Linked DNA regions of Daphnia pulex. The protein of the gene in region 5 purifies or fractionates together with the protein of the main gene of each other region. This does not show direct contact. Links are inferred from orthologs where the notes say so. Each region holds a gene or a part of one and is shown on either strand. Other genes may lie near its edges.

What was found.
Region 1: the proteins of histone deacetylase complex subunit SAP18-like (region 5) and eukaryotic initiation factor 4A-III fractionate together in Homo sapiens (co-fractionation; 3 studies listed by BioGRID and IntAct, with this or other methods). This does not show direct contact. The link is inferred for Daphnia pulex from reciprocal best matches to the Homo sapiens genes SAP18 and EIF4A3.
Region 2: the proteins of histone deacetylase complex subunit SAP18-like (region 5) and splicing factor 3B subunit 1-like purify together in Homo sapiens (co-immunoprecipitation; 3 studies listed by BioGRID and IntAct, with this or other methods). This does not show direct contact. The link is inferred for Daphnia pulex from reciprocal best matches to the Homo sapiens genes SAP18 and SF3B1.
Region 3: the proteins of histone deacetylase complex subunit SAP18-like (region 5) and FACT complex subunit Ssrp1-like fractionate together in Homo sapiens (co-fractionation; 3 studies listed by BioGRID and IntAct, with this or other methods). This does not show direct contact. The link is inferred for Daphnia pulex from reciprocal best matches to the Homo sapiens genes SAP18 and SSRP1.
Region 4: the proteins of histone deacetylase complex subunit SAP18-like (region 5) and serine/arginine-rich splicing factor 1-like purify together in Homo sapiens (co-immunoprecipitation; 4 studies listed by BioGRID and IntAct, with this or other methods). This does not show direct contact. The link is inferred for Daphnia pulex from reciprocal best matches to the Homo sapiens genes SAP18 and SRSF1.
Region 6: the proteins of histone deacetylase complex subunit SAP18-like (region 5) and apoptotic chromatin condensation inducer in the nucleus-like fractionate together in Homo sapiens (co-fractionation; 7 studies listed by BioGRID and IntAct, with this or other methods). This does not show direct contact. The link is inferred for Daphnia pulex from reciprocal best matches to the Homo sapiens genes SAP18 and ACIN1.

What each region holds. Positions count from the first base shown.
Region 1 is NC_060018.1:3,384,302-3,387,979, reverse strand, and holds eukaryotic initiation factor 4A-III, read left to right. Parts: upstream 1-1,178; 5' UTR 1,179-1,308; coding exon 1,309-1,456; intron 1,457-1,563; coding exon 1,564-1,766; intron 1,767-1,821; coding exon 1,822-1,954; intron 1,955-2,018; coding exon 2,019-2,152; intron 2,153-2,207; coding exon 2,208-2,296; intron 2,297-2,353; coding exon 2,354-2,492; intron 2,493-2,555; coding exon 2,556-2,671; intron 2,672-2,734; coding exon 2,735-2,970; intron 2,971-3,036; coding exon 3,037-3,053; 3' UTR 3,054-3,178; downstream 3,179-3,678. Other genes in the region: uncharacterized protein LOC124188409, read left to right, coding at 1-44; 39S ribosomal protein L35, mitochondrial-like, read right to left, coding at 255-483, 535-642, 698-921; ATP synthase mitochondrial F1 complex assembly factor 2-like, read left to right, coding at 3,558-3,678. UniProt on the Homo sapiens protein: ATP-dependent RNA helicase. Involved in pre-mRNA splicing as component of the spliceosome. Core component of the splicing-dependent multiprotein exon junction complex (EJC) deposited at splice junctions on mRNAs.
Region 2 is NC_060027.1:4,648,201-4,651,518, forward strand, and holds the end of splicing factor 3B subunit 1-like, read right to left. Parts: coding exon 3,050-3,318; intron 2,991-3,049; coding exon 2,694-2,990; intron 2,630-2,693; coding exon 2,300-2,629; intron 2,231-2,299; coding exon 1,967-2,230; intron 1,905-1,966; coding exon 1,668-1,904; intron 1,607-1,667; coding exon 1,417-1,606; intron 1,350-1,416; coding exon 1,076-1,349; intron 1,012-1,075; coding exon 795-1,011; intron 734-794; coding exon 575-733; 3' UTR 501-574; downstream 1-500. Other genes in the region: coenzyme Q-binding protein COQ10 homolog B, mitochondrial-like, read left to right, coding at 1-421. UniProt on the Homo sapiens protein: Component of the 17S U2 SnRNP complex of the spliceosome, a large ribonucleoprotein complex that removes introns from transcribed pre-mRNAs.
Region 3 is NC_060026.1:11,629,052-11,633,083, reverse strand, and holds the start of FACT complex subunit Ssrp1-like, read left to right. Parts: upstream 1-1,232; 5' UTR 1,233-1,400; coding exon 1,401-1,451; intron 1,452-1,523; coding exon 1,524-1,709; intron 1,710-1,776; coding exon 1,777-1,992; intron 1,993-2,059; coding exon 2,060-2,235; intron 2,236-2,292; coding exon 2,293-2,428; intron 2,429-2,504; coding exon 2,505-2,608; intron 2,609-2,670; coding exon 2,671-2,799; intron 2,800-2,872; coding exon 2,873-2,980; intron 2,981-3,043; coding exon 3,044-3,227; intron 3,228-3,287; coding exon 3,288-3,393; intron 3,394-3,445; coding exon 3,446-3,747; intron 3,748-3,817; coding exon 3,818-4,032. Other genes in the region: coiled-coil domain-containing protein 25-like, read right to left, coding at 64-266, 324-503, 574-665, 728-800. UniProt on the Homo sapiens protein: Component of the FACT complex, a general chromatin factor that acts to reorganize nucleosomes. The FACT complex is involved in multiple processes that require DNA as a template such as mRNA elongation, DNA replication and DNA repair.
Region 4 is NC_060024.1:10,561,747-10,565,362, reverse strand, and holds serine/arginine-rich splicing factor 1-like, read left to right. Parts: upstream 1-1,307; 5' UTR 1,308-1,489; coding exon 1,490-1,659; intron 1,660-1,715; coding exon 1,716-1,820; intron 1,821-1,947; coding exon 1,948-2,081; intron 2,082-2,142; coding exon 2,143-2,315; intron 2,316-2,373; coding exon 2,374-2,416; intron 2,417-2,477; coding exon 2,478-2,641; 3' UTR 2,642-3,116; downstream 3,117-3,616. UniProt on the Homo sapiens protein: Plays a role in preventing exon skipping, ensuring the accuracy of splicing and regulating alternative splicing.
Region 5 is NC_060018.1:4,705,792-4,708,649, reverse strand, and holds histone deacetylase complex subunit SAP18-like, read left to right. Parts: upstream 1-1,390; 5' UTR 1,391-1,532; coding exon 1,533-1,616; intron 1,617-1,678; coding exon 1,679-1,785; intron 1,786-1,873; coding exon 1,874-1,964; intron 1,965-2,063; coding exon 2,064-2,258; 3' UTR 2,259-2,358; downstream 2,359-2,858. Other genes in the region: protein toll-like, read right to left, coding at 1-258; uncharacterized protein LOC124210509, read right to left, coding at 2,381-2,729, 2,791-2,858. UniProt on the Homo sapiens protein: Component of the SIN3-repressing complex. Enhances the ability of SIN3-HDAC1-mediated transcriptional repression. When tethered to the promoter, it can direct the formation of a repressive complex to core histone proteins.
Region 6 is NC_060026.1:13,527,855-13,531,994, reverse strand, and holds the start of apoptotic chromatin condensation inducer in the nucleus-like, read left to right. Parts: upstream 1-1,340; 5' UTR 1,341-1,441; exon of another isoform or gene 1,442-1,472; intron 1,473-1,530; 5' UTR 1,531-1,730; coding exon 1,731-1,874; intron 1,875-2,305; coding exon 2,306-2,371; intron 2,372-2,441; coding exon 2,442-2,647; intron 2,648-2,711; coding exon 2,712-4,140. Other genes in the region: aspartate aminotransferase, mitochondrial-like, read right to left, coding at 1-40, 113-241, 302-461, 583-665.

The DNA.
Region 1 (3,678 bases), about 1.3 Mb from region 5:
CTCAGCGAAAAAGTGTTAAAAGGACTCAGGAATGGGACTTTTAAATCCCCCACCCCCTGATATTATGTAACAGTTTTTCAAATTTCTTCTGTTCATGTACTCAAAGATAACACTTCAGTAATACATTTCAGTTCAAGTTAAATATGGTTAAGATATTTGTACAACCAATATTTTTTAACATTGGAATGAAATAAATACAATAAATTTCCTTTTCCATTATTTGAATGTATTTGAACTAGTATTAATTATAGACCTCAATGAGGTTTAACAGCACTTGATGGATACTCTTCTCGCTGATGATACGACTCGTACATGTCATCAACGTAAAACCGTCTCTTTCTCCAGTATTTCGTTACCATTTTGTCAAGAAGAGTTGACTGGGTAGCATTACAAAATACATGCTTTTCACCCCGAATCTTCCTTTTTGCTGTTTTGCTCCAGTGACGTTTACTGTGTCCCACCATTGGCCTTATCCATGCACCCCTAAGAAAACATAATGAATATAAATAACCAGGAATGAATAAAATATATTACCATCCTAAACGATAGAACCTAGAAACAACAGCTTTAACTGTTTTGCGCTTCCCTTTTTTGAGTGACCATTTTGTAACTGATCGGGTTTGCTGCAAAGAGGGAGTAGTTCTGCAAGAAAGTAAGCTTAATTTGTGTGCTTAATAAAATTTAAATTCTTGCTTACAATGACAGATTTTGAAGCAATGGGGAAATAGATGATAATATACTTGGGGTAGCATTCATGGAAGGGTATTGGACACACCGAAAAGTTGATTCTGACGAACCCGAAAAAAACCTTGATGTGCTAGGCAGCAAAATTTTTGCTTTGACTGAAACGACATTTTTAGAAATTGGTGAATAATTCGCCAATCGAAAAGCCGATTGAATAACGTTTTTCAAAGTAAACATTTTAGATTTTTATTTTTCTTGAATCGGGAGAAAATTATTTTCAGTGTTCGTTCGTCTGCTTAATTGAATCTTTTCATGCACGATATCGATATACAAATTACAAAGGCCAGGTCTTTAAAAGGTTTTTAGCAACTTTCATTGATTTTTATTAAATTAAAAATTAAATTAGTTTCAAATTTTAGTGGATCATGAATCATTACTTTTAAGTTGTAAATTTTTGCTTTGAAACCATGAGTATGAAAATTTGGCAACACAGTTGACTCCATGTTGAAGCGATTTTAACGTCTGTAACATTCATTCTATAGCATCCTTTCACCCTTGCCGAACGGACGCAAACTAATTATTCACGAACTATCGTGCTTTTTCACACTTCTGATTTCTAAAAAAATGGAGTCTAAAGGCAGACGTGTTGTCCAACAGATGCCGGATGATTTAACTAATATTGAATTTGAAACGAGTGAAGATGTCAATGTTATTCCCACATTTGACAGCATGGGCCTCCGTGAAGACCTGCTAAGAGGAATTTACGCTTATGGTACGTACAAATGAGACTTTCACTTGTTGAGACCTTGCTCCATTATTCACATTATCCTTAACCTACATGATTTTTAATGTTGAGGTTGGCTTTAAATGTTTCTATAGGATTTGAAAAACCATCAGCTATTCAGCAGAGAGCAATTGCCCCAGTAATCAAGGGGAGAGACGTTATTGCCCAAGCCCAATCCGGTACTGGCAAAACAGCCACATTTTCAATTTCAATTCTTCAGAGTCTTGAAATTCAAACAAGAGAAACTCAAATATTGGTTCTAAGCCCCACTCGAGAGTTGGCAGTTCAAATTCAGAAAGTATGTTATGGCATTACTTTCTGTAGTACAGTGTTTTCATTTAGCTTGTGTTTAGGTTATTCTGGCTCTTGGTGATTACATGAATGTTCAATGCCATGCGTGTATCGGCGGCACTAATGTTGGAGAGGATGTTCGAAAATTGGACTACGGTCAGCACATTGTTTCTGGAACCCCTGGACGTGTATTTGGTATATTTTGCTATTTCTGTTTGTTAAGTTTGGATTGATGATAAGTGTCTTGATAACTCTACAGATATGATTCGCCGACGTACACTAAGGACACGTTCAATTAAAATGTTGGTCCTGGATGAAGCCGATGAAATGTTAAATAAAGGGTTCAAGGAGCAAATTTACGATGTCTACCGTTACCTTCCTCCAGCAACCCAAGTATGTTTTATGATATTTCATAAGAAAAACCAATTAAATCAATCTTTTATTCAAGGTGGTTCTTCTTTCAGCCACATTGCCTCATGAAATCTTGGAGATGACCAGCAAATTCATGACAGATCCCATTCGCATTTTAGTCAAACGGTAAACGTTGTTAAAAGTCTGCTTGTTTTTTATTACTAATTATTTTATGTGGTTTAGTGATGAGTTGACACTCGAAGGAATCAAACAGTTCTTTGTCGCTGTCGAAAGAGAAGAATGGAAGTTTGACACGTTGTGCGATCTGTACGACACACTGACAATCACGCAGGCGGTTATTTTTTGTAATACTAAACGCAAGGTTAGTCACGATTAAATCTCTTCTATTGTTGATTTCGATGTAACACAGTTAGATTGATTTTAGGTTGACTGGTTGACGGAGAAAATGCGTGAAGCGAATTTTACCGTTTCTTCAATGCACGGAGACATGCCTCAAAAAGAGCGTGATACTATTATGAAAGAATTCCGTAATGGTCAGAGGTATTGAAATTTTCGTCTACCATATAACCATTCAGAGTAATAACAATTATTCGTTTATTCTAGCCGAGTTCTTATTACAACTGACGTTTGGGCTCGTGGTATTGATGTTCAACAAGTTTCGTTGGTCATTAACTACGATCTCCCTAACAACCGTGAGTTGTACATCCATCGTATCGGTCGTTCTGGCCGATTCGGACGTAAAGGTGTTGCAATTAACTTTGTCAAGAATGACGATATCCGTATTCTCCGCGATATCGAACAGTACTATGCTACACAGGTTGACGAAATGCCCATGAATGGTAAAATATTTTTAGCATGTTTTTTTTTAACTCTTTCTAAATGTGTTTGTTTTTAATCAATTTCAGTGGCTGACCTCATTTAATCTATAATCCATTTCGGAAAAAGGAAAACAAAGAAGTTGATGCGTCATGTTTTTATTTTGCTGGATTTTTTTTTTCTGTATCCCCGAAGATTTGGACTAAATATATGAAACTTGTGGCCGTTTAATTAATTGTCTTGTTCCATTGTTGGAGTCTAAAAATGACGTCTACTTTACTCGTAGATCTGAAGTAATATATGAACCTTTTGCTCATGAGTTATGACTTATTGACTTATGAGTTATGACACAGTATTTATAATAAGGCATGTTGATTTTTTTTACTCACTTTGAAAATACTTGCGACAATTCGAAACCAGTATTTGAAGGACGTTCCAAATTCCAATTACAAAGTTAGATTTGTTGTATCTCTAGTAGCTGAACAAAAGCTAGAAACTAGCTGAAAACTTGGTTGCTGAAACCCAGTACCCCACATTTCCTTTTTTCTGTTTGAAAACAGTTTTGGTCTGCTACAGTTCGAAGCACCCGGTTGTTGCTTGTTGGTGGGTGATGAAATCATTTGTCACCTCGTCAACAATGTCTTTTTCAACTAATAATTTAATACGTTTTGGCTCCGGCACTTCTAATTTATTGAGAATACTTGGTAATAATCAAATAGGAGCTGGAAACG
Region 2 (3,318 bases), on a different chromosome or scaffold from region 5:
GAATTACAAAAATTTTGTTCCATATTGCAAAAGCTCTGTAGTTACCTCACGAACTACTGGTCATCTTAGAGCTGATTTAGCAATTGGCTTTCCTCCTTTGTTAGTAGAAAGCTATACAAGCAGTGTCATGCTTACCCCACCAAACATGGTGAAGTCTGTGTGTTCAGAAGGGAAGCTATTCAACCATCTTCTTACTATTTGGAAATTCAGTCCTGGACTAAAGGGAAATCCTAAAAGTTGCACATTGGATTTTTCCATTTCCTTTGAATTTCGGTCTGTACTTCACTCTCAACTGTCACATGTTTTTTTTGATCAGGTTGTTAGGCAAATGGTTACTGCATTTTTGACAGAGGCTAGGAGACGTTACGGACCAGCGTCAATTAATGGTCAAAGGCCACAGATGTTATCTACACACGCCTAATGACTTAATCAATAATCACTAGCTAAATTGAAATGTTAAATAATATTGTATCTAAATTTGATGACATTACACGAATTGCGACGGCTCAAGTGAGTTTATTTTTAATGAAATCAGTACATGAAACTTGTGTAAAAATGTAGTACAGAAAGTGAATTACAATACATAATCGAGTTCATAACGATTAAAAGTGTTTTTCCCTTCGTTGGACACTCGAGGGTACCCACACACCAGTGAATCTTGACCGCCGATGTATAGTGAGTTGTAAATCTTCCAATACACGTCACGAACTTTCCGGGCCGGATGAAACAGACCCTATATAGAAAAGAAAATGGTTTAAAACTGAAATTCTAATTCAATCAAATAATTAAGTTACCTGCAGTGCGTATTGTAAGACTTTAATAGGGCCCAGGGCTACTCTCATACCCTCCACAGCATCCATAAAAGCTTGAACCAAATGAGGGGATGTTTCAAAAATATTGGGCCAAACGTAGTTCAACAGGTGTGTGAGGGCATCTTCACAACCAAAGCCGAAAACACCCAAAGCCATGTGCTTGATGGCTGCACAAGCAGTTTGACGATGGACCAGGTCACTAAAATAAACAGATGTGCTTCATTAACTAATTAATCATAAATTCAAAATAACTAGAAACTTACCGATCCATCAAAGCGTCTTCTAAGAGCGATGTAACTGAATAAATGTAATCCTTCCCCATCTCGCCAATGTACTCGAACAAGAATGACATCGACTTCAAAACACCATTTTGAACATTAAGTTCCGGGACTCTATATTCGTTCATAAGACCAGGGAGGACGGTGAAGGGCGAACAAGTTTCAGCCACAATTGCAATGGCAACGGTTGTACAAACACGATTTTGGCGCTCCTGTACCTTCAAATTATTAAGCAGTGTAGCCAATACATCGTGTGGGCCTGAAATTTGTTGTTGAAAAATAAATAATTATATTGTACATAATAACCATGACAATTTCGGTCTCACCAATTGCTTTGGCGATATAACCAAAAGTGTTGACTGTAGCTCGTCGAATGGCTTTCTTGTGTGCTTTCAAGAGTTCTAAAAGCTCAAAACAAATGCGCATCCACTCTCGAGCTGAAACGTACTCTGGCCCACGATCGGCAATACGCCCAACCAAATCGATGCAATTTTCCTGTACTTTTTCATGCCGATTCTAAAATGATAATAAAACCACAATAAGAAAAATAAATTACTGATATGTTAAAAAAGCGAACCTTCAAAATAGGTGTTAATCGGGGAAGTAAATCTTTGATTGGCGGTGTCATCTTGTGCATGCCAATTACGTTAACAATAGCTTTAAGAGCAGCTAAAATAGACCCAAGAACTTCAGGGTACTCTTCGCCAAGATATTCATAGAGAACAACTCCCAGATGCCCCATGAGCTTTTCTTCCTGACAAGTTTTCATTACTGCTGCAATACGGCTAATCAAATCAGCAGCTTGTTGCCGAACCTATGGAATAAAAATCATTATATTAAAACGAACGTTTACAAATAAAAGTTGTATAACATTACTTTTGCTGATTTGTTGTTCAAACGCCATAAAATAGTACCACAAATTTGTGGCAAATAAGGTTTAACTCGTTTGGAAAGTGAGTTCACGATTGTACCGAATCCATTTAGCATCACAACATCTTCAGTCGTTTGTTCCTGAAATGCGTAGAGAATACCGTCGATGAGCTGCTCTTCCAAGCGAGCGTCGATATCAGCGGCACCAAGATTACCCATGATCTTTTCGACCGTTTCCATAACCATTTTCCGGTATTGTTCATTTTCGTCCTGTTAGGAAAAATATTCAACATGTTATTTGACTGTCACTGAATTATAAATAATGAAAATGAATAAAACCTTTAAATCGTCAACCACTCGGCCAATAATTTCCGCTGCACCAACACGATTAGCGATTTCAACTGTTGTGTCAACTAGCTGGCGATAGTTACGTCTATCTAATGCCATTCTATGATTCCAGAAACTTTTGAAGAAATGTGGCAAAATTTCTGTTTTAATATACTGAGGTTCCACACCGTCAGTTGCGCAACACTGTTTCACCACTTTAAGTACAATCTTTTTCATTTCTTCGTCAGGTGACTGAAACTCGCGAATTAAAATTAACATCACTTCGCGAGTGTAATAATTGGCGTATTCGGCATCCATGAGAGGAATCAAATAGCCAATAGCCTATTTTTTTTAAACAAATAATATTACAGTATGCAGGATAATATTTTACTTTCAATTAACATACCTTAAGGAAAGCAGCCAATCCCTTACCACGATGAGTTCTTATACCCTTCCACAACGGTTTTAAAACAGAGTCAAAGCTCTCAATACCGTACGGAGTCGCGGCTTCTGCCAGCGCAGCAATGGACAAGGCAGTGATGGTGCGCACTTTCTGTTGCTCATCTACCAATCCATGTTCAATGATCTCAACCAGATTTCGCAAGTGAGGTAAAATAGCACATCCCATAAGAATAGCAATTTGTTGGACGATTTTGATGCCAGTATGGCGAGCTTGCCATGACTTTTTACTCTTGCAAACGGCCTAAAATAAAAATAATAGATAAGAACAAGCCCATCTTAAAACTGAAACAAACTATATACCTTTAGAAAGGGAAGAAGGGAAGGAATTCCCAGTGCAGAAGCTACCACAGCAAAAGCTCTTGCAGTAGTGTTACGAACATATTCATCAATGTTATCGATATCAGGTCTCATGGTAGAAATCATAGTTGCTAAACCAGCTGCTTTGGCTAAATTAGAGATGATTTCTCGACCTTCAACACGAGCATAATAGTCTTCGTCGATTAGCAGCGGTTCAATAACGACAAGGATTTTGTGGACGTATGGACGCACTAGATCATCCAATTTGTAGA
Region 3 (4,032 bases), on a different chromosome or scaffold from region 5:
ACATGTAAAAATTAACATTTCTGTGTAAAAAAATAAATATAGTGTTTAGTAAATCAAGGTCACCTTAGTTCAGCTTCATCCTTTTTTCGCTTTTCTTCTTCTCTCTCCCTTTCTTTTTGTTCTTTAAGGAGCCTTTTCTTGTCGTCTCTTTCTGCACAGTCTCTCTGTTCTCTTTCAAACCTTAAATCAGGTTTTTTCTCAACTTTGGTTTTGTTGAGACGGTTTACAATTTCATTAATTCTTTTCTCCACCCTAATCTTGCGAACCTATAAAACTTGATTGTTAGATAATGGATAGGAACACATTAAGAAGGAAATCTGTACATCTTTTTCTTTGTGAAATCCAACTTGTCCAACTTCCATACCAGGAGTCTTTTTCAAATTAGACCACAGGGTGTAAACAACATCAATGTTGTTCATTTTATTCCCTTGGATGCTGTTCGCTTTACATAATTGTGCTGCATCTTCTAAAATGGCTGCTGGAATATCATCAATTACTTGACCCTACAAATAAGAATAGTAACAGAGCTGTATTAAAAATTGTTTTATTTGATTTAATAAAAAAAACCCTTACCTTGTTTAGTCGTATGTAAACATGGGCTGACGATAGCTTGTCAACGTGGAACCAAACATCTTCAGGCCATCCCCACTTGATCAACTCCTCATCTAGTTGTTACTACAAGGATTAATAATCCCATTTTATATCTTACTGATTGATTACTTCTTACTTTCATGTTTTTCTTCTCCCATGAAAAGTGCGCAACTGGGTTGAACGGCGGTGCTGACGAAATAGAAAACCATTTTAAATCTTAAAAATATAGTCAACTAATTTGAGAGGGCCAGCGAGAAAACATTCAGATCCAAATTCCAATTTTTTAACACGTGGATATACTATTTTCTACAATAGTAAATGCAACTTGACAATCCGCCTTGCGGCTGACAGTACTTCGGATAACACTAGAAGAATACGGTCGATCCCTCTTGACCACTTTTTGATCTTTTGATCATGTAAAGCTCTAGAAAATCTATGGTAGTGAGTGCCATCTGGAGTCTCAACATTGTAGAATCCACATTCCACAATCCTGAAATCCTATCCAATCCAATCAACGAAAAATCCTCTTCCCCAGTTTAAATTTCTACTTAAAAATAATTTTTCTATTAAACTATGATTTATTTCAAATGTTCAAATACGGTATCAAATATCTTTAAAATCTAGCGTTGCCCAAACGAGTTTCACTGGCAACGCTTTATGGCCATTCCTTATACTTCTCCGCTCGGCGCGAAGTAAAATAACCGACTGCTGGTGTTTTACATTGTTACGATTATTCTCTTGCTTTCCAGCTCGTCTAGTTGGATTTTTATTCATTTCGCCAATCGGGATTACAATTTTTTCGTTGTGTGATGGATTTTTTAGAGTTCTCTGATGTTTCAGCTGAAATTAAAGGCTCAATGGTAAGAGGCTCGCTAAATTGTCATATCGGCTGCACGTGAATCTTCTTCTATTGACAAAATTTTTTCTTCTAGACTCCAGGCCGTCTAAAACTAACGGATCAGAGTATCGTGTTCAAGAATTCCAAAACGGGTAAAGTTGAACAGATAAGTTCTTCTGACATTGAATTGGTTAACTGGCAGCGACTAGCTGGTGCTTGGGGACTACGTGTATTTCTCAGAACCGGAGCACTTCATCGCTATGGTGGATTTAAAGATTCAGTAAGTAATTTTTTAACATTTGAAAGCTTTTTTATTTTCAATTTCCTATTAATTTGGTTTTGTCTAGGATCAAGACAAGCTGGCAAAGTTTTTTACTCAAACCTACAAAAAAGACATGCTGGAGAAAGAGCTGAGTGTCAAAGGATGGAATTGGGGCCGTGCTGAGTTCAGTGGTTCAACTATGTCTTTTGAAGTTGGAAACCATACTGCCTTTGAGATTCCTCTAAGCAATGTGTCCCAATGCACAACAGGGAAAAATGAAGTCACCTTAGAATTCCATCAGGTGGGTACTATTATGACAAACAATGCTGCAGACATCTTACCTACTGCTTTATTTTCTCTAAAACTAGAATGATGATGCATCAGTCAGTCTGATGGAGATGCGTCTCTTCATTCAGTCCAATGATCAAGGTGGAGATGATGCTGTTGAAGCATTCCAGAAGCAGGTGATGCCTAAAGCAAGTGTCATCAGTGCTACTGGTGATGCAATTGCCATCTTCAGAGAAGTTCAGTGCCTCACACCAAGGTATTTTCTATCATTTGTACTTAAAACATTTGCTCATTTAGTTTTTATCCTTGACAGAGGTCGCTATGACATCAAAGTTTTCCAATCATTCTTTCAACTTCATGGTAAGACATTTGACTACAAGATTCCAGCCTCTACTGTACTTCGCCTGTTTTTACTTCCGCACAAAGATGGTCGGCAAATTTTCTTTGTAGTAAGTTACACATCTCTGAAAAAGAAATTAAGAAAAGAATCATCATTAATCTACATATTTTTATTGTGTAATTCAGGTAAGCCTTGATCCACCTATTAAGCAAGGTCAGACGCGTTACCACTTTTTGGTCCTTCTCTTTAACAAAGATGAGGAGACATCTTTTGAAATACCATTATCAGAGTGAGTAATTTTGAATAATTCAACATTTTCAACACGTCATCAAAAAACGTTTGTCCTAACAGGGAGGAATTGAAAGAAAAGTTTGAAGGCCGACTTTCTCGTGATTGTAATGGTCCAACTTATGAAGTTATGAGTACCGTCATGAAGGCCATGGTTAACCGAAAGGTCACTATACCTGGAAATTTTACTGGGTAAAATTTTATATTTTCATTTCAAGTGTTCTAGACTGATTTCACAGTTTCCTTCTTTTTTAATTATTTATAGCCATTCTGGAACCCCCGCTGTTGGATGTTCCTACAAAGCAGCAGCCGGATACTTGTATCCGCTAGAACGTGGTTTTATTTACGTTCATAAACCTCCTATTCACATTCGGTAGAATTCGTTTCCCTGAAATTTTTGTTTGCATATTTTTTAATTTATTCTTCCTTCGCACAGATTCGAAGAAATTGCAAGTGTTAACTTTGCTCGTGGCGGAGGAAGTACCCGTTCTTTTGACTTCGAAGTTGAGACCAAAAATGGGGTTGTTCACACCTTCAGTAGCATTGAAAAGGAGGAATATAACCGCTTGTACGATTTCGTAAACAACAAGAAGCTCCGCGTCAAAAATACTGGCCGATCCGTAAGATCTAGCAACCCATTGATAGTGTTTGTACTAATCAGTTTTTGTTGTACGTAATAGGACAAGTCCGCTCATGGGGATGATTTTGGCGATTCGGACGAAGAGGAAGCGCCCGACGCATATTTGGCTCGTGTCAAGGCTGAAGGCAAACAGCGTGACGCAGTTGGTACGTTTTCCTTGCTTAACGAAACAAAAGCCTTTCCACTAACATGTGCCAGTTGCAGGTGACGATTCGGGTGGAGATTCTGATGAAAATGACGAAGACTTCAAACCTGGTGAGGAAAGTGACGTAGCAGAAGAATACGACTCCAATGTGGCTACGACCGACTCGGAAGCATCCGACGCATCAGGTGGAGCCAAGGCTAGTAGTGCTGCGAAGGCTAGTAGTGCTGCCAAGGCTGGCAGTGGTTCTGGCAGTGATTCCGATTCCTCGTCCAAAAAGAAGAAAAAGAAGGACAAAAAAGAGGAGAAGGAGAAAAAGGAAAAGGAACCCAAGAAATCCAGTAGCTCGAAATCGGCGGTAATATCATCTTTCAATTTGCCAATAATTTCAGAATTAAAGTTTTTATCGTTTATTAATTTTGTTGTAGGCCCCTAAAACTCCCAGATCGCACAAATCCAAGAAGGATAAGGATGCAAACAGGCCCAAACGACCACAGTCGTCGTACATGCTGTGGTTGAACGACTCACGCGAACAGATTAAAAAAGATAACCCTGGCATAAGTGTCACAGATCTGATGAAAAAAGGTGGCGAAATGTGGCAGAAGGTTGAAGATCGATCTATATGGGAAGCCAAAGCTAAAGT
Region 4 (3,616 bases), on a different chromosome or scaffold from region 5:
AAGGCCTGTTACCAGCAACTTACATGAACTCTGATGTTCGTAAGTCAAGTTGTGTCCAAAGCGCCACCAGTGGACTGATTCATTCAAACAACATACTAACATACTATCATGATAATATGGTTACAATTTGGTTAGTAAAATACAAGGTTAACAACATTTGATTTCTCATTTATTTTTCATATTGCATTCATGAGGGAAAAACGTTTTTGACTGAATGAATGTTTTCCGTTAGAGGGCAGTAGTAACCGTAGCAAAAAAATGCGGGACTAAAATTGACAGTCAATTGCCTATCGCACAAATACCTTGCTCCAACGTATTAAGGCTTTAAGTATCGGTAGAAGTAAATGATAGAACCAAGTGATTCTAACGATAGTTACAAAAGGCGCGTTTTTTTTAAACAGGGAAATTATTGAAAGTCTATCAACTATAATTAACAATAATAATTATTCACGTTTCTCCTTGCTAAAATTTTTAATTAAAATGAAATGTGTGACGTCAACATTTATAAGCGTTTCCGTTTGCTGCTGTTAGAATACTTTTTTAAATATCACATTTCCGGGCGGAACGGACAAAACAAAACATTGTGAAATATAATAAGGAACACAAAAGAAGAACATAAATACTTTTTTTGTTATTATTATTTCAAATCTAAGTTGTCTTATCCCTTATGGCACGCTCAACTATTTTTCAGACTTACAATTTTCAGAGCTATTGCTTATGGCAAGCCAACTCAAAATTTCACAGGAAAAAAGGAATAAATGCACCACTGAAAAATTAAAGATAGGTTATTGTTGTAACCAATGCCGGTTTATTTATACCAGTTCTTGAAAGGAGATAACCCCCAGAGCAAATGACCTTGTCACAAAGTTGATCGTTACGTCAATGCGGTTGAAAAGAACTCGACCTTGATGTACGATTTTATACCAGGTATAGATTGCACGCGAACGTCGTTACCAAGAGCCCAACAAAAATGTCGCGCAATAGGCTCTGCATGCAAGGGTCATTCAGTTAATTGCACCAGAACAAAGAAGTACTCAAGATAACAAGCATAATTTTGAGATAACTGAGTTAACCATTAATAGCTGTGGTTCGGTCTTCGGTTTGCGCTTACTAGAGTGCCACCGTGTTCACTTTGAAACCTAATTATTCACAAAGCCACTAATATGAACTTATTTCAACTTAATTTTCATCCGCGATTTATTTGCTAGATTTATAGGCAAACAAAAAAAATTAAAATCACAAAAATAGTAACTATAAAAAAAAGACAAAAAATAAAAATAAAAGCGTTATCAACTTGCTGATCTGGCAATGCTCCATGGCTGACGCCATTACCCGTTCAGAAAAATTTACGGCATTTTTCTGTTTGACAAGGGGCGCCTAACACCCAAGACTACTGTGACGTCTTTTTTCGAAAAAGCAAATTCCGTATTCGAATTCGATTTAACATACACATTTGGCAACTAACCGTAAGTGACAAGAAACAGTCAGTATGTCAAGTTCTCGCAACAATGAAGCCAGAATCTACGTCGGTAACTTGCCACCCGACATTCGCACTAAGGACATTGAAGACTTATTCTACAAATTTGGAAAGATTGCATACATTGATTTAAAGAACCGACGAGGACCTCCTTTTGCTTTTGTTGAATTTGAAGATCCCAGGTATGTTGCATGGTTATATTTGTTTCCTTGTTTAGTTAATTACAAGCACTTTATAGGGATGCTGAGGATGCTGTGCATGCTCGTGATGGCTATGACTATGATGGATATCGTTTGAGAGTGGAATTTCCAAGAGGATCACAGAATTCTGGTGGTGGACACAGGTCAGTTTTTCTATCCTCACATACCATATTTGTAATTTAGTTGTGATTGTTTTATTTTGTTGGTAAAAGAAATTATGACAAACAAGTAAAAATCCTAATTTAATTTTTCATAATATTTATTTTTTAGGGGTAGTGGTGGTCGAAGTGGAGGAAGAGGTGGTGATGGAGGTAGAGGAGGGGGTGATGGTGGGGGTAGCAATGGTGGAGGCAGGAGTCGAGGGCCACCAGCAAGAAGAACAAATTACAGAGTCATTGTAACTGGTGAGTTAAACATTTAGTAAAGTTTTAAACCATCATTTAAAGCCACTTTTGATATTCACAGGTCTTCCTCCTACTGGATCATGGCAAGATTTAAAAGATCACATGAGAGAAGCTGGTGATGTGTGTTATGCTGATACCTATAAAGATGGAACTGGAATGGTTGAATTCCTTCGCTACGAGGATATGAAATACGCCATCAAGAAATTAGATGACTCAAGATTCCGTTCACATGAGGTATATTTTCTACAAATCTTGATAAACAAAGTTTTCAAAATTATTCGTACGTTTACAGGGAGAAGTATCATATGTGCGCGTTAAGGAAGATAGCGGAGACGGTAAGTTATATTTCAATTTTTGTTTAAAGTAAATATTGACCTTGAATTTTTTCTTCTATAGGTCGCAGCGGCGGAACTCGTGATCGATCGCGATCTTATTCTCCAGCCGGTGGTGGCGGCAAAACACGTGGAAGTCGCGGCTCCCCCAGCTATTCCCCCGTTCGTCGTGGTGGTTCATATTCCCGTTCGCGCTCACGCTCACCTCGTTCCAGATCACGATCTTAAAAAAGTTATGGAAACGAGAAAAAGGCAAAACTAAACAAAAAGACAAAAGTTGTGCGATGTGGACAACAAAAAGCTTAAGGATTGGAAGGACTGGAGGAGGAAAGGGGTCTTTGGTATTGTCTCCATGGTTCATACTATATTTTCAAAATTCTTAGATGAATAGCAAATCTTTTAAATTGCAAAAACCAATTTTTTTTTTTTTTACAACAAGCTACATCAAAGATTTCAATTTTTTATGAGAAACTCAAAATATGTTTCTTGGGTTATGATTTTGGCATTTGCAATTATTGCTACTAATCATTCAGTTTCTTCTCGACGTACACGTAATCCTTTTTGGTTTCGAATACCCTCAGAGCTCCCCGATTCCAACCAACTAATTTTTTTTTTTCCGTGAGCAACCTCATCCTTTCCTTTTTCCCCTCCCTCTTGTAATACACAAAATAGCTGTGCGTCGAATAAACATGATTCTCATTTTCTTCCCCTTTCTATTTGTAGCGTACACAGCAAGGTTATTGCTCTCTCTGGATGGGATTGTTGTGGGATTTGGATTGCATTGGATTTGGATTTCATTGGAATGGATTTGGATGGATGCATTGTGGATTGATAGGTGACAGGATCTGGAGGATATGCTGGAAACAGCAACCGCTTCTCCTTTGTCTACAACCGTCGTGGTGAATCGCTGTGGACTTGCCTTGTCAGGACCCGTTTATTTTAAAGAGATCTGTTGGACTCCGGCACTTTGGAATTGAGCCCGACCTAAGACAAGAGTTAACTTAGGATTGCTTACCCTTTGATTTTCAGGCACTTTTTTCATCATCATACAGAGAAAGAAGAAACCGACGGATGACGACAAAATGGAAATAATACATGCCTTGCAAATGGTGATATTTCCTTGGAGTACAAAGAAATTCCTTCGATGTTTACCGATACTTCTGTTTTCGGCACATTGGAAACAGTATTACCATTTTAATGACA
Region 5 (2,858 bases):
ATCACATGAACACTGAATTTCAAATGAACTGTCACCATTGTCTTTAAGAGCTTTATAATCTGCTGAAATAGAACCCTCACCAACTGAACATTGTAAGTTGAAATCGCCATTTGTCTTCGGAAAGCATTGACATTCAGGATTTTCACGTTGAGAACATTTCCAAAAACTTTCTGGATGCTGGTCGATAGCAGCACTTAGTTCTTGACTGACAACAATGGTTTGAAAGAGAACACAACACAACACAAAACGGTAGGACATTTCTAAACTGTTACATACTTTTTCTTTAAGAGTAAACGTATTTCATTAGTCAACACTCAACAGGCGATACGAGATTCATGACCTTGACGTTTACAATGTGACGTTCCCATTTCCCGATTCTACGAACTTTCTAACATAGCAACATCACAAAGTGAGCAAAGGCCTGAGTTGGCAAGGGGGGTTGCAGTCTATTGTGATCATTGTTCGCGCCTGCCACCTATATTCTAGATTGTTTAGATTCTATTTACCCAGCATGAATCACAATGAACGTGAACGAAGTTTCACGATGTTTTCAGCCATAGATGTCTCTCTCTGATATCCGTAGATTGTGACATTACGTGATACCCCGATCAAACAGGCCTTGCAATGTATTTCCTTTCGTATTATGAATTTATTGCACGTAAACAGAGCCGAGGGAAAGTTAAAATGTGGTTAAGCTTTCACAACTCAGAACGAAATGAAAAACATAATTTTTAGACAACATATTTGCTTGAAAAGACTTCTCCGTTGATAGAATGCCATACGTTATTAATGTTAAAACATAGTTTTCTCTAATTAAAACATGATTAAAAGTTCCGATTGTGATTCGAATTCTGAATGATTAATCCTTAGTTTGAAATTAAAAATAAACACCAATCCAATCTTCTCTTCAATTAAATTGCAGCTAATTATTTGAAGTGGTTAGTATTTAGTACGCGTAGATGCGGACTATTACATTAAATAAGAAATGCGTAAGGCAAGGCCAGAGCAATAGATCCCTGGTCGGTTCACGGCTGTGTTGGCTTCCCCATCTCGATTTTAGGGTAAACGTAAGCCGATTTGGAAACTTTAAAAAGCGCCTCTAGTGAGTGTGTCAGCTACAACGTCCAGCTACTTTTGAGAGCCTAGATGGCTCTTTTTAAAGTTTCCACTTCACAATTCTGACAGGCCCCGCCCTAAAACCCCCTGAAAATCGGCTTACGTTTACCCTAAAATCGAGATGGGGAAGCCAACACAGCCGTGAACCGACCAGGGATCTATTGCTCTGGTAAGGCCGTAATTCATTTTCGATCGCTGGCCCGCCTGGCCGTCCCGCACTCCGCAGACATTATTCACATGATGGCAATGTGGCAAAATTACAAATTGCCACTATCAGCCGGTTGAGGCGCTGTCTCATCAGAAGTTGTTCGCGTCCATGAAACAGAATAATCTTGTTTCTCCCGGCTCTTCTAACTCAATCATTAAAACTATTCAAGAACCTTGTGAAAAGTAATTTGAAGTTAAAACCATACAGAATGGCTACGGGAACTGTAGAATCTGCTGTGGCCGTTCGAGTAGAAGAAAATAGAGAAACTGAAAAATCTGTTGACAGAGAAAAGGTAGACTAACATTTTTTGCATTTTCTAATCTAAAATATGACTGAACTGAGTTTTCTTTGCAGACATGCCCATTGTTACTTCGTGTTTTCTGTGCCATGGGAAGACACCATAGTCTTGGTGATTATGCAAGAGGTAGTGTGCCAGCAAGTGAGCTTCAAATTTATACATGGTAAGGAAATCCCAAGAAAAAGTGATATTTACGGCTAAAGTTATGTGTAATCGTAGAATTCATGAAATTTTGCATTTTGCATTTATAGGATGGATGCCACTCTTCAAGAAATTACTGGATTGGTGAGAGAAGTTAATTATGAAGCCAGACGCCGTGGAACACGCTTTTCCTTTGCTCAGGTACATTCTAGTTCATACAGTACTTTAAAGTAAAGAGGAACTGCTGTGTTTGTTTGTTAGTTCATCATTATACATCATTCTTTTCTTCTGTCTGCTTAGGTATTCCCCGACCGAAGCACACTAAGCATGTCTCGACGTGAAATAGGTTCCACAATCTCAGGAGAACGCGGGCCAGATGATATGAAGACCCTCAAACAGTGCCGTTTTACCATTGGAGACTATATTGACATCGCCATCACTCCACCCAGCAGAAATATGAATAATCAAAGCAACAGGAGATTCAGGCCATACTAACTTTTTTTTTGTTTATCGACACGGCATTCTTGTTTTTTTTTTCCAGCAATTTTTCCAAGTCATTTTCATAATTGACAGTAAAAAATTTTCACATAGAAAATGTATTTCTCAGTTGCATTTTTTTATGGAAGGCTAAACGCTGCATAAGAATCCCGTATTAAGTAATTAAGGGTTAAGTCATCCGAATGTTCCAGAATTGTCGCAATCAGTTCCTCTTGCTCTTGATGAGAATCAGACGGAATTGGAATTTCTTTTTGTGCTCCCAGTTTACATGTAAATTTATGATAGAATTCTAGCATTTGACAATTCATAGAAATGCCATATTGAAAGGACAGCCTTAGTTGGTGATGTGCGTCTTTCAAATTTCCAATTTCATCGAATAATTGCGACAGTTTAAAACATAATTGGGATCTGATCACATCTTTCGTTCCACTCACAGCAAAGGTTATAGAATTCAGTTGCAAAATTGATCTAGAAAATAACGTTTGGTTTTTAATAGTTACGCTTTATATTCATGAACTAATTATAATACCTATTGATGAGCTGGATAGCTTTCTTGTATTGCTTGAAATGTGCGCAGATTTGAGCATGAAGGTACAA
Region 6 (4,140 bases), on a different chromosome or scaffold from region 5:
GGAGGGAACCAGTTCCTGAAATTCCTTGCACAGTAGCATTCTGCAATGAAAATTTTTAAAGGCAATTGTTTATAACTATAAAACATCTTTGTTGGCACATGTGAAAACTGACCAATCCATTCTTAGTCCATTCATTGTCCTCTCCAAGGGCAAGGTTGATGGTAGCTTTGCAGAATTCTGGACTACCGGAGATAGGCGAGTACTCCTTGTCCATGTTCTTCTTCTGGATTTCCTCTTCAGCCTGAACATAATAACTATAATTAAGCTATTGGAATATAATGAACAAATCTCACAGAAATACCAATTTCACAGATGGCAGGATGAATGGTTTTCCATTGTCATCTCGGTAGGCTCCTACACCCAAGTTCATTTTCTTGGGGTTGGTGTCACGCTTGAAGGCTTCAGTTACTCCCAAGATAGGGTCAGGAGGTCCCATCTCGACATGACTCCACCATGAGGAACTGTAATTGCCAAGAAAGTTAAGTAATCGAAGATTCAAGGCCGTACAAGGTCATCCGTAACGGACGGTAACAACGGACGGTAACAATGTTTCACAGATATTTATACAAATACGATACGTACTTTCTAGACGAAACGGACAAAGCATTTTGGGCGGTAGTCAAAGTTGACGGCGAAAAAAATTTCAGTGACGAGATGAGTGCCATGTTGTGCTGACCGGAACCAATGAAAGTATGAAACCGGACAGAATTGCACGTCTGCAATTGGCAATTGGTGATTTCCTCCGACTGGATTTCCTGCTGAGCATCAGCATTGTCAAGTAGTCGGTGAGAAAAATTTTAATGAAAACATTTTCGGTTATTCATCATCTTCATAATTCTATAACATGAGTTAAAATAATTTAGTGGGAAATAAGTAATTTATATTTGATCGACAATTTAAGGGGAATGTCTAAACTTGGCAACCAATAAAATAGCAGGTAAAAAGTGGCGCAGTTATTTGATGTAATAGCAGAGTTAATTTTGTTTTGGATGAAATTGAATTGAAAAAAGCTTTTCATTTCAATTGCACAATAGTCTATTTCAAATTTTCAACTAATAAGAAGTAGCAAGCAGTTGTAGGTTTGTTAAGGAATCCTCTTCAAAGTAGGTCACACTGCATTTGTGTGAATGATTGTGTTTCCAGAGGAAATTGCTCTGCTGCTAACAATGAATAAATAATGCTTATTTTTGTATCATGGGGAAAATAAATTGTTCGTTAGAAACTAGAAACAACAGGGTACGGGTCATTGAGCTCTACCTTTCATGAATCATTGGACTTTTGATTGGACCTGACCCTCCATATCTTAATTACCCCCTTGTTCCCATTGCAGTTGCTATTTCTACTAAAGCTGTTTCAAACTGCACAGTCGTTGCTCTACTTTGCTTGTGTTCGTGTTGACCCTATTAGTCGTGTGCAGGCAAAAACCGTTTCAACAGCAACAGTAAGGATTAATCTAAACAAAATACTTCTAAGTAATCCAATACGTATAGTTGGTTGAATTTTAATTGCTGTTTATTTAAATATGACCAGACATTATTTTTTTTAAACGTATATCATCGTGTAGACTGTAGATGCAGTAAATATAGACCAGCAGCAGGACTGAAGGAGTAGGACTTGATGTTTATGACGTGTTGCGCGAAGCTACCGCTAGGTGCGCTGTACAAACGTCGCCGAGCGAATGCGCTGGCCTGAGATAGCTAGCATCACACTTGATTCTTCACAGGAAAACGATGGCGGACAATCGGGGAAGAGAGTTATGTGTTGGGGGGAAACCTATTTCATCCCTACGCGTCGTTGATTTGAAACAGGAACTAGAAAAAAGGAGCCTCCCGAAATCAGGAAGCAAAAAGGATTTGCTAGAGCGGCTCAGATTGGTAAATATTCTTTTAACTTGAAAAAACCGCTAATGTGTTTCCCGTCCTCTAGCTCCGGGTTTTGTTGTTAGCCCATCCCCCTCGACGCAAACAGACGCTTTCAGCGTGTGTCGCCATGGGGGGGGGGGGATCTGTCATTAAGCAAATCAATATAGGATATTAAGTCTTAACCTCATATTCTGGTAGCATTGCAATTTTTTTCCCTTTTTTTTAAGCAGAAACAAATTTTGTTTACATTTCAGACCCCCTACAGGCTATATTTGAACTAACATATGTTTGGATTTCATCACTCCATCTTCTGACTTTAAATGAAATCCCACATGAATGATAATGCAATATGATAAGACTAGGAGCCAAACTTCTTTTTAGTTTATTATATAAGAAGGATTCTGAAGTAAGCTAAACTTTTGTTGCATTTGTTTCTTCATTAGCACCTGCAATTAGAGGAAGACCGCGAGGCTGCCTTAGCTGATGAAGAGCATGTTCCAAACCTTTCGGTAAGTACTCTTATCACATTTGTTTGCACTGATCTACAGACAATTTTTAAATGATCTTTCATCATGTTAGCTATGCAATGAAACTGAAAATGATTTCATTCGTGAATACTTGGCTGCACAGCAGGCCAGGTTCCAAGTACAAAGAGAAGCCAAGAAACAATATGAAGAAAAGAAGCGTGAATCAGAAGCTAGTGCTGAAGAAACAACTCAAGACGAGGATGAAGCGTCTGATGTATCTCCAACCAAAAAATCTCCCAGAAAAGCCATGAGGCCAAAGTAAGTTCTAAAGTAATTTCAAATAAAAAATAACATTTACTCAACACAGTGTATGTTAATGTAGGAAAAACGAAGAGTCTACATCTACGCCAAAAGCGCACAAATCCGCACTGGATTTTCAAACACCAGAGTCGATGCCTTACTCCACTCCACCACAAGAAAAGCGAGATGAAGACGGGGCGAGACACGAGAGTGATACCACCGGTGAGGAGGAAGAATCCATGACTCCCCAGACCCGTAAACATAAGCTACTCAAATATGTTCAGCAGCCTGCCTCTAGTAAGGGTCCTGGTAAGTCGGATACCGGACAATTTTCAATTGCAGACCATGTGGATAGATATCAAGGGAGTGGGACATCAGAAAGGCGGGATCCACCGCCTTCCAGTCTCTATGGTGAAGCCATCAATTTGAAGGTGGAAAAAGAGAAAGAGATTTCACCTGTTAAGAAAGAACCCTCACCGGTAAAAAAAGAAATCCCTTCACCGGTTAAGGTAGAAACTCCTTCCCCCGTAAAGAAAGACGGACGAGTATTGCGAGGACAAAAGGCGCATAGTGTGAAACCTCCACCCACCGATGTGTCTGAGGATGAGGAGGACGACGACGAAGAAGAAGAAGAAGGAGTCTTTCCCCGTCTTGTCGAGGTCTGGTCAGAGAAAGAAAGAGAGGAAGAAGCTGCAGCTTCGGCCTCGGCTGAAAAATCTTTAGCACACAAATCGGAAAAACCTAAAGAAAATGTTGAACATCCTTCGTTGAATGTTAAACAGGAAGACCCTGAACCCCACAAGCCCGTTGTCACTGTAACCCTTGTTGAAAAGTGTAGCGAAGAAGAGTCGAAGGATGTAGCGCCTTGCGCTACCGATCCGCTAGCAGATAATCCAAGCAAGACAGAAACCATTTCTGTCGAGGATGAAGCAAAACCGGTTAAAAGCGAATGCGCGGTAGAAGTACCACCAGTAGAATTAGTTGTAGAAAAAGTTAAAATCGAAGAAAAAAACGTAGAAAAGGTAGAGGATGTTAAGGAGGATGAAGCGTTAGATATGACCACGGATAGCAAGGTAGATGAAGCTTCTCAAAAAGCGGATCTCGTAATTTTAGAGGAAAAAGTAGAGACTGCAAAGTTAGAGGAACCGGTTGCGAACTCTTCAGCGATTGAGGTACATGAAAACGATACTGTCGACGCTTCTGTATCTGTTGTGGAAATCGTACCGCCCGCTGAAATCGAAGAACCGATTGTAGATCTCGTAACTGTAGAAAAGACAAATGTCCCCTCTGAAACCCCCAATAGAGATATTTCAATCACGGAATCGGAACCCGAGAAAATGGATCAGTGTGAAACTACACCAACCGATCAATCCGAGCCAGAGAAAACGGATCTGTGTGAAAACAAACCAATCATGAAATGCGAGCCTGAGTTGAAGGATCAGCCCGAAACGAAAGAGCCTGAGTTGAAGGATCAGCCCGAAACGAAAGAGCCTGAGTTGAAGGATCAGCCC